Coturnix japonica: one gene and its partners. The protein of the gene in region 3 interacts with the protein of the main gene of each other region in a pairwise test. Links are inferred from orthologs where the notes say so. Each region holds a gene or a part of one and is shown on either strand. Other genes may lie near its edges.

Region 1 (3,519 bases), on a different chromosome or scaffold from region 3:
ACAGGTCTTTGTTTCTTTTGCATGCTTCTACTCGGATCCCACGGGCAATGCAGACACTTATTGCAAGCGGGCTGCAGGGCAGCACTCACAGCACTGCTCTGCCCATGGAGCTCCAAGCCTGCAAGGAGTTTCCTGGGGGGAAGGAAGGAGCAGCCAGCAACAGAACCAAGGGATGAGACAGAAGATTTTAGGCACCATCAAGATATACTGTCTGCTATTGGAATTATGAATAAACACGGTAACAAAAAAGGCTTCCCTCGACTAAGGAAATTCAGCTAGCTGCAAAATCCAGCCGTATTGGAGCAACCCTGCAACAAGGCTTGGCTTTCTTTGCTCACACAAACGTGGAACAATGCTTCTGTAGATCCAAGGAGCTGCCCAAGGCAGCTTCCCAGTGGAAAAGTCAGCCTTTCCCCTTCCTGCCTCATACGACTGCTTGGAGAAGGCGGCTATTTAGATGTGCTGGGATGCAGCAGCTCTTAGGGCTGACTTCAGGAGTTCCAGTCACAAGCACAAATATGCACTGAGCCTCACCAGCACCGGAGCTCACAAGACCCAACGTCAAAGCACTCGTGTAACAGGACAGTCAATGCTACAAAGAGAAATCACTAAACACCCACAGGCATCAAGCTTAAACCAGGGTTGGTGGGCCTGCCCTGGATGGCAGCACACACACACAGCAGCATCTGACACCGCACACAACACAAGGAGAGCTCTGCATTGACTTGAAAATCTTTGGCTTTTAAAGAGGGCTGGGGAACGTACAGGCATGACTAACACAGAGGGCAGAGAAGTCAGCAAAGGATTTCACGCATCGTGTCGCTGAATACCGCACTTCAACTTGGGATTAAGATGAGTGGCAAGGAAATTTCACTTTGCTAGACAACACAGAAACTCATAATATAGGAAATTTAATATTATCTTGGACACAAAACTCTGCTGAATGCTGCCTCCAGTCACTGCAATAGTAATCAGCTCCGTTTTGCTGCTAATCCCAACAGTCTGCAGGCATTACAAACAGGAGTAACACCACTGAACTCATCTCTAACAGCACGAGGGCACAGTGCCCCTACATCCAACCAGCACCACATGTGCTCAATCCATACTGAAATCCATCCTGTGCTAACATCCCAGAGCATGAAGTTTAGCTAGAATTCAGTATCTGAGAGCTGTAACATGCATCGTGTTTATCAGCATCCATCCACACCAGGGGGTCTTTGGGGGGATGCTCAAGTTACAGAGCACACATTGCATCCACCCACCTCACTCAGTAGAATTCATGGCAGTACAGACCAAGCAGGAGCATCACTTTGGACAACAGGTATCAAAATGCATCCATAGAGATCTGAGCAAACCCCCAATAGGGTGGGGGTGCCAATAAGGTCCCTGTTCCATTGAGGACTGCTTGGGCTGCAGAGGTTTCAGTCAGCAGCAGCCACAGGCTGAGCTCAGCACAGAGCACATCTGCAAGCAGCATATCACACAGTCCAAACACAGGGCACGGCCTTAACAGAGACCTGCCCTAAGGGCTGCAATAAACTCTCCTGGGGAAAAATGCTTTTCTTTGGAAGAAGAATTTCTCCCGTTCTTTGACCTGTCCAGGCCTCCCCCCTTGATGATGATTTTCCTCCTCCACACACAAACTCACAGCTAATACTAATGCAAACAGCATCCAGTTAACACCACGTTAGGCTGCTGTCACCATTTAATGCCACTCACAAACAAGAAGATTCCCAGCAGTAACCTCTTCCTTCATCTCAGAGGGCACACTCTTCCACCAGCACTCAGACCAAACCCTTGCAGAGGCAGCTGAACAAAACATAAAACAGAACTCTGCCTTGGTTTGCAACAGAGGTTCCCATTGCAAAAAGAGAAATGTTTCAGGACAGGTCCAATGCACAAGCAACCAGACACAACTGCTTACAGTACTTTGGGTCTGCTGCTCGACAGCGTGTCCAGGACTGCTCTGGGGGCATGAAGAACATCTTCAGAGCTGAACTAGGAAACAGGCCACCAGTCACACCACGCCGGTCTTAACCTTTCCTGCTTCGATCCAAGCCCATCCAAACACGTCCTGTAACACCCATGTTCTCTACCTGTCACCTCTCAGCTCACCCTGCCAGAAGGAAGCAAAGCACGACTGCTACTCACAGCGGTACGTGGGGCTGCTCTGGATCTGCTTTGGTCAGTTCCTCCTCCTCGACGTCAGACTCTCCTCCTGAGCTGCTGTCAGTGACATCCGAGTCAAACGCCTGCTCGCTGGATCTCAAGTTGGCCATGCCACTGGCCGTGAATCTCTCCAGTTCTTCCGATATCGAATCGCTCTTCAAGAAGCTGCTGAGACCTTCTGAAGTAACTGTCTCGCTCGCAGCTTTCCTCAAAGCTGCTTCTGCTTTTCTGGTCAACATCAGCTGGCTGCGATGCCTCACAGGGTCCAAAGTTGGAAGCTTGCTCAGAGTTTTCTCCAAGAAGCCGCCCAACTGCTGCTGGATGTGTCTCTCCACCTGCTTCGCCTGCACCACCTGCAAACGTTTCTGCAGCCTCCGAGCACGGTTCTCAATGTCCGCCTGCCGTCGCAGCAAAGCCCTCGTCCTCATCTCCGAGTCGAGGGTGCTGTGATGGCCGGCGGACAGAGAAGGTTTCTGCTCCTCCAACCTACTGCTCCCAAAGTCCGAGTGACCGCCAACCCCGGGCAACCTGGTCTCTCCGCTGCCCCCCTCCAGCACCTGCTGCTGCTCCGTGGAATTAAGGGAAGATTTGTTTGCAGTGCTATTATTGCTAAAAGGAGTCGTGCGTTCCGCATCAAGGCTTCTGTGTGGAAGAGTGCAATTGGTCAACCCGGCCTTCAAGTCCCCCAATTCAGAACCTCCTGCATTATAGTCAACGCCCTGGAGGGCGGCAGCAGGAGCAGCACACTTCCCACCGTTCAGAGCACTAGAGTTTTCATGGTCTGAATTGGTGCTTTTGGCCAATTTCTTGGCCAAGCCGTTCACAGGTGCTTGCGGGAGAGGTGGCTGGCTGTTAGCACTCATTGTTTTCAGATTCTCCAAAGTAAATTCCAACACCGGTTGCCTCCCCAACAGATCACTCGTTTTCAAGAAGGACTGAGATAACAGAGAGTGAGATTTAAGGACTGTCTGCTTGTTGAAGACTCCTTGCAGCTTCAGAGGCTCTTTTGAAGAGACAGATGTTACATCCGAGCAGAGATAAGAGGCCACTAGTGGCTGCAGCTTGCCCAGCTCTTCCTTCGTGGGGCTGTTTCGGAAATCTAAACTGGGATCCTCCGGAGCGATGGCTTTCCTTTTGGTGCCGTTGGCAGCCAGGAGGATGTTGTTGGCGTTGCCGTTGCTCTCGGCACTGCCAGGTGACAAGGTGGAGGACGGGGGAGCCAGCTTGAATCGGATGTGGTGAGCTTCAGCTGCTGCGTCAGTGAGAGCGGGCGCCATCGCAGCCATTCAGCACAGAGACACGGGAAGTCCAGCCTCTCCCGGTGCCGAGGCCAGCTCCACTGCCTCCCAC
Region 2 (3,888 bases), on a different chromosome or scaffold from region 3:
TCTTCTACTTCTGATGCTACTGGCCCCTGCCACAGTTTTAGATCATAGTAGTTTCTGCTTTGAATGGTTTACCCTATACCTGTAACAGTATATAAATACGCAATAGCACTACACTGCTTTTAATTATTTAATTGCATTAAATCAGGCTCGTATGTGCAAATTGCTGTAGAAATAATTATCAGCATTTCTGAGCTAATGGTTGAATACAACATTTCACACCCATTTTTAAGGAATGCTTGAATTATCAAGGGCCAATACAGCACGAAATAGATGTTATTTTATCTCTCGTTTACCACATTTCTATACAGAGTACTGCATGCAATTGTACCATCTCAGCGCTAGTTACTTACTAGTTCTATAGCTGTCTTCATTTTGTTGTGCCTTGGGAGCCTCACAGCAGCCCAAATACCAGCACATGGTCTTCGCATTGGAGAGAACTTCAGTATCAGAGGCTGATGTACCGCAGTTAATGCTGTCAGCAATCGTGATGCTACTTGTACAAGTACAGTCACATGTACAGAAGGATTTTATTAATTAGGCTGAATGTACAAGTAGTGCAGGATGGTTACAACAAGGAAAACAAGCTTTTTAAATGCAAGTGCTGAAGCCACTGAAATATTCTTTTCATCTCAATACCACGAAGAGCTTTGGGTTATAATGCAAGAAGCACTCCTCTTGAGCAGCCATAGTCTGCCTTGAAAAACTGACTTGGACTATTCACTTTGAAGTGAGCAATTCTTGGGATAAATTTCATCTCAGTCATTTCTGCTGCCTTTGTACACCTGGTGCCACAGCACAGAACTATGTTTAGTTTACGGCCTTTCAGAACTCTGCTGCAGATGCTCGGCCCACTTCACAGTAACGCCTGGAGATACAGCCAACATTAACAACATGCACTGGTATAAAAAACTGAAGTCCTTGAGAAAACCCATTCTGTGCACCTTTCAACTTCAAACTGCAGTGAGAAGTACAGCTGTCCTGAAGCTGCTGTACTGAGTTATTCTGATCAGTTATTAGTCTTACTGCGGGTACATCTGTTGGTTTTGTTTGCCTTAAACAGAAGTACAGTCCTTCAGTGTATTTAAAAGAAATCTACAGCTCCTGCTGCTTAGGTAGCGTGATAATTTGTGTTTCTGAAATACTAAGTAGTGCCCCAGTTACAGCTACGCTATTCATGTGTTATTGGATACATAGTTAAGAGATGTCCCACTCCACAAAACTCTACTTCTCAGTAAGCCCACTACTATTAGAGCAAGAGAGTATGATCTGCCCAATATCCTCCTTTTCAGCTTTAATTAGATACACCTTTCTAACTAACTTCTCCCAACCACCGTTTCAAACACTTATGTCTGAAGATGGACCTCTGCCTCTCAAAGGGAGGGAATGTGGGGAAAGCAGCAAAACACACTAACTTAACACTGAACAATCCTAACTTTTATAGTACCAATCTCCAGAAGCCCTCCTGCACCACAGGAGATGGCCTTTACCCAGTCACTGCCATGGGTGGAGGCCCAAACCAAGACTCCCATCTGGACCTGCTTACTGAAGACTCGCATGCCTGGTTCTTTTAACTTCTGATGAGAATCAAATATAAAATAGGAACTTACATTTGGCACAATCACAGCCCAGCTCTCACAGAATTCCAGTTCAGTGGCACTTCAGCTCTCCAGGATTTCTGTTCTTAAAGTGCTACAATAAGGATTCAAGTCTCAGGTAAACAAATATGATCATTCTTCAACCCAGAGAGTATAAAGGAAAGTGCACATTCCAGAATATAATCAGGAATTTCAAGGTCACCCTTAATACTAGCCTGATGTTCTGGAAATGAGCATCTACATATTCATTCCTACACACGTAGCTTTGAAGCCAACGTGGCTCTCTATTACACTGCAATTTGTGCCTAGAGGGACTGGGAAACTAAAAGTAACAAGGTGGCACCTCAGTTAGAAATTGTTATAAGCACACTTTAAATGCTACTCATATTAAAATCAGTGAAGTCTCTACTAGTTTTTAAATCCATTTCATGTACTATTGCACAAAACTGACCTATGGCCTGTATATCCTGCATCTCAAAGAATCATAGCAGCCTTTCAACAGCACTTCCTTGTAACTCTCTTAGGACAGTCAGACTGGCCTGTACCTGACACTGTGCCATTAGCAGAAGATGCAGAAATTTTAGAAACACTTTTGTCTTTTCGGTCAAAGCTCCATTTGAAAAGCCAGTAGCTCAGCTGCTGTAACAACACAGTGCAAACAAGGAGGAAAGATGACAAACCAACCATAAAACAAAGTGACAGTTCCCTATTACTGCTTAAGCCTTTTGACCAAATTAAACACACAGTAAGACGAATTAGCATTAAGATGGTTGTAACAACTTATGATAAGTTTTTTTAGTATAAGTGTTCAAGACTAGCAGCGTTCCTCTTCTTTCTTCAAGGCTGAGTAGTGTTGGGAATATATAAATGAAAGCATATAAAATATAACATTCTCCCAATTCCTTCTTGTAATCTGTACTGCTGTTTATAACTGCTCCATCTTCCCATCTCTTAGCAGCGGACTTGAGGTAACTCTTACAAGGTGTGATTGCTGCTTCAACAGTTGGATTTCTCCTTTTGTTTTGCTAAAGTGTACTTCAGTTCCTTTAAGTTCTCCGTCAGTAGTTCCACCTCATCCATTCGTCCGCTATGCTTGGCATCAAATATGTAGGCTTTGATATTATCTATCTGTTGGAGAAGCAGTTCCTCGTCTATAGCCTCCTCTCTTAAGATCTCAGTTACATCTTCCACCTCAAAGGGATTGGTAGAAGATCCTTCTTCAAATGGATTTCCAGAATTCCAATTGTTCCCAGACTTCTGAAATGGATTTTCATCCTCTTCAAAGGGATTTGAAGTACTGACAGATGCTCCACTGGTCTGTTCACCTTCCTCCCCATTTTCAAATGGGTTATATTCTTTTCTGTCACTTTGCAGAGCTGTGTTAGAGAAAGAAACCGGTTGAGACACATCTTCAGCAAATGGGTTAGTGGGATCTTCCTCTGACAGAGGGGTATCTGCTTCATCTTCAAAGGGGTTTAGACAGGTTGCCTGATTTTGGTCTTTGCCACACTGTGGAGTATTCTGGTGTCTAACTGGGACGATTACGTACTCTTTGGCTGGAATCTGCTGAACAGCAGTAGTTTCAGAACTTCGGTTCCCTTTCACTTGAGTAATATCTAAATCCAATCTATGTGCTAACAAGTTCTGATTCTCTTTTGCAGCTTCATACTGATGCTGCTTGCCTTCTCTGAAATCTAAGGAGCCTGTCATTGAATGCTGAGACATGGATTTGTGGTGTTCTCTTTCCCACTCTTTTTCACAAAGGAACTGAAGTTCTTCCCTCTGCTTCTCTTCCTCTTCTGCCTGTTTTTTAGAAAGCTCAATGGCTTTCAGAGTTTGCTGTTGATCATATTCATCCTGAAGTTGCCTCAGGTTTTCTTGCAACATACGGACCTCATCCAGCCTATTAGCTGCCTTTGCTTGCTCAATGAAGGATGTGATGTTGTCAATCTGCTGAAGAAGTGGGTCTGCCACCTCACTCTGTCGAGATATGCTCGATGTAGGCAGCCAGCCTTCAGATTTCCTGACTGCTCCTTTTTTAAGGAGAGTTGCATCACCATTAACTGCACCTGCAGATCTGCATGTCAAGTCTTTCTGCTTCTCCTCTTGTTTTCTGTGTGTTTCAAGAGCTGCCTAAAACAAAAATATATGGAGAACGTGAGCTTGAAAAATTCCATTTTTAACTTTTGTATTCACAGAAAATAGTTGTCTACCTTAGATACTGCTGTCACAAACATCAACTCAGTCTTTAGTTTCTCTGAAAAAACTGTTCATTTTTGTAATACTACCTATT
Region 3 (3,352 bases):
CCAAGTGTTCTGTGTGTGTGTGCGTTTTACAACCCTTGTAATACTAAAACGAGTTCATATTAATACCTCATGAAAATAGTTGATCTAATGTTGTAGGGGCTGCAATTAGTTACCTCTACTGTACTCAATACCATTGTGTAAATGAGCTTCAAATTTCACTTGAAAGAACTTGGTTAGCTTGAATTTCATCCTGTTGATTTAATTATTGGCAGGAATGTGCAAATACATTCAGTGTAAGAAAACTGTTAAAGCCAAAGAAGAAAAGAAGTTCTTATACTTACAGCTATTTTTTGAGAAATAGTAGATGTTCCAGCTTTAACACTACATTTTTTAAATGGGAAGAAATCCATGAGTAAGGAAGACAGATACTGTTTACAAGTCTTCAAGGAGAACATTTCACTGACATTAAAGGCAGCTTTGCAGACTCACTTGAAATGTATCAATTTGTAATCTACACATTTACAAGGGATGCTCTGCTCTGAAAGCTGTTTCCCAATCTGTGCCAAAACATGTGAGACTTTGTAGAATACTTCTGATGATAGACCTCCAGGCTCTGTTTCTCCATAATTGATTTAGTTATTAGTTATGCAGAGAGGGAAGAGATCCCTGAGGCTTGGTAAAAGAGTATTCAGTTACTAAAAGCAGCCCTTTGTGAATTAATGTCATCCTACCAGCTCTTTCTGCTCATTATTCCTTTGAGTCCTGCTTTCCTGGACACCAGCTGTCACAGAGGAAGTCTCCAGCCTTTTCTCTTCCTGCCTCCCTGGCTGGTTGCAGTTGCAGCAGCACGGTCTGGAGTGTCTCCTTCACCACCTGGATCTCCCTCTGCAGAGACTGTGCAAGCTTTATTAAGGAATAATTCTATAGGTGATTGGCAGCTCCTTTTCTCTTTCCAAGTTATTTAATAAATGGTTGTTCTGCTCACACCAGATGGCCATGGCTATCTCATTGTAGCTTTAAGTTCTTCCAAATTGTTTGGATTAAATATTAATACATTGCTCTCACTTGCTTTCAAAAAGAAAAGAGAAAAAAAAAATCCAGGCAAAGTTCTCAAGTAGCATTATTTAGCACTTGTAAAAGGGGAGGGAATGGAGGATACTGCTTGGATACTGTTCTCATGGGAAGGAGGGAGATGAAGATGTTATACTGTGAAGGCAGCCACACAAGCTGTTGGTTTCCTGCTGGATACAGGGTGGGTTTTTAAGCTAGAGACATAAACTAAAAACCACTTTTCTGTGAATGAAACTAAGGCCATTTTCAACTGTACTGAAGCCAGTGTTCCCTGCTATACAGATACAACAGGGCAAGGACCCTGAATTGCAACTGTAAAGGGCTCAAGGGAAAAAGAAATAAGCTCAACTCTAGCAGTAATTCACCAATAGGATTTATGAGAGAACCTGAAATGCACTTTTTCACGGGAAGTGAAACAGGTTGACACTGAAACAACTCACTTTCAAAAACACAATGCAGAGGAAGAATAATGCATGAGGACAGGCTTTATCCTTTATGGAGTCCATCCGTTATGAAATGTTATTTTACGCAAACCTGATGTCAACACAATGTCAAGAAAAGAAAGACACACTCAGGTTATGCAATGATAAAAAGTAAGCTTCTACCCTTTGAAAAATAGTGACTACACAGAACCACAGGAAAGCCATGCAAAACAACACTACTTCAGGTAGTTACAGGCCTCTGAAAACCCTTTTCACTGCTTTTGATTCTGTTTCACTTCCTCAAAATCTCATCTCTGTGTGTTTATGCATATTTAGTAGGATGATTTAATTCATTCACCGGGAGTATTCATGCGTATTTCCAATTTCTGGACAGCTCTAATAATGTGAGTGGATTCTGTCTCTGACTACTCACAGGCAGTAACAGCAGCACCCAATAAACTTCTTATCCTAGAATCTCAAGCCACCATACAAGGACAAATCAATTATGCCTCGCAGCTTCTCTGAAGTAAGAAACATCATTATTCTCTTATAAGTGCTCCTGGACCGTCTACCACTCTGCAATTCAATCAAGAGGCTCTGCTGAAAATTCTTCAACATATGAACACCATGAAGCCTCTGAAATTTAATTACTTCTGATGCGCAGCCTCTGACTACATGCTGTTATTTGTAATATCCCAAGCAATTACAAAATTCTTTTCAGGTATAATGAAAAATTGAAACATTTGAGAAATTGGAGGATGAATAAAAGAGTAGAAGATGGGAAAATAAGCTCTTAACCAATAGAAAGATGGGGGCAACAAGAACGATGACTGCATAGTCTTACCTACAGCAAGATTCAATAAAATCTGTGTTTCAGTAACAGCGTGGTGTTACTCATAACTCCACAGTCAGCTGCAAATCAGTAACTGTCAAGCATATCCTTATGGCTAGGAAAAAATCACACGACATAAGGCTGAGCATGGAATTTCTATCCATGTTATGGAGGTTATGTCTGAATCACCAGCTTCATTCATTCCAAAAATACAAAAACAAAACAACCCAAAACCAACCAAACAAAAAAAAAAACAACCCAGGTATTTGCATGGGTCCATATGTAAATGACTCCCTCATGCTTAAATTGTCTATCCAGTGCTGCAAATGTAAAGCCAGTGTCAAAGTGAGGAGCCCAGAACAAGTTTCAGCAAGGATTCTGTTCTGGTCCTATTATCTTACAGTGAAAAACTGGCAAAAACTGTCCAATGTATCAAAAGTAGTAAGCTAAAGTACTTGGAAGCAATGTCATACAAATCCAATCCATTATCTGCAATTACAATGCTGTAACGTAGTCTCAAAGCTTTTTGCCCATGTGATTTTCTCTTTAAAAAAAAGTCTTGTGAAAGATCTGTAAGGATCCTCCAGAGGAAGGATATTTGAGCTCACATCATGGCAGAATCTATGATTTTCAAGAAGATAAAAGCAGATCTATCTAATGACTGTAGAGTTGCTTAATTTTTAGTGAAGAAAAAAAAAAAAGGAGGGGGGAGGGGGAAGGGGAGTTGTTCATCAGCATATCTTCTGTTCTCCTAGCACAAATGTTTAGAGAAAAGAGACAAAAAGTAGATATTACCAAACAATTGTCATCCTATAGGAAATATTAGAAACTGAGTATAATGTAAGACAAAAGGCCTTGGAAAGACAGCTGAGAAGTTGGTTGTAGCAATGAGATAAAGGAAGTTAATCTTATGGGATTTTAAAGAATAACAGCAATTTTGGACATCTGGAAAGGAAATTAAGAGCAGGAAAAAAAAAATTAGAAACAGTTTTTATTTACGTATTATACTTGTCTTTAGCAGCTGAGTGCTACAGTGGCTGAAGAGAGCACCTCACTGAAATGTCACGCTACAGCGGTAGTGAATCCA

What was found.
Region 1: the proteins of DISC1 (region 3) and KANSL1 interact in a two-hybrid assay, tested with the Homo sapiens proteins (2 studies listed by BioGRID and IntAct). The link is inferred for Coturnix japonica from reciprocal best matches to the Homo sapiens genes DISC1 and KANSL1.
Region 2: the proteins of DISC1 (region 3) and RBSN interact in a two-hybrid assay, tested with the Homo sapiens proteins (2 studies listed by BioGRID and IntAct). The link is inferred for Coturnix japonica from reciprocal best matches to the Homo sapiens genes DISC1 and RBSN.

What each region holds. Positions count from the first base shown.
Region 1 is NC_029542.1:2,325,657-2,329,175, reverse strand, and holds part of KANSL1 (KAT8 regulatory NSL complex subunit 1), read right to left. Parts: 5' UTR 3,456-3,519; coding exon 2,152-3,455; intron 1-2,151. UniProt on the Homo sapiens protein: Non-catalytic component of the NSL histone acetyltransferase complex, a multiprotein complex that mediates histone H4 acetylation at 'Lys-5'- and 'Lys-8' (H4K5ac and H4K8ac) at transcription start sites and promotes transcription initiation.
Region 2 is NC_029527.1:17,051,118-17,055,005, reverse strand, and holds the end of RBSN (rabenosyn-5), read right to left. Parts: intron 3,729-3,888; coding exon 2,592-3,728; 3' UTR 504-2,591; downstream 1-503. UniProt on the Homo sapiens protein: Rab4/Rab5 effector protein acting in early endocytic membrane fusion and membrane trafficking of recycling endosomes. Required for endosome fusion either homotypically or with clathrin coated vesicles.
Region 3 is NC_029518.1:35,477,923-35,481,274, forward strand, and holds the end of DISC1 (disrupted in schizophrenia 1 protein), read right to left. Parts: intron 837-3,352; coding exon 688-836; 3' UTR 519-687; downstream 1-518. UniProt on the Homo sapiens protein: Involved in the regulation of multiple aspects of embryonic and adult neurogenesis. Required for neural progenitor proliferation in the ventrical/subventrical zone during embryonic brain development and in the adult dentate gyrus of the hippocampus.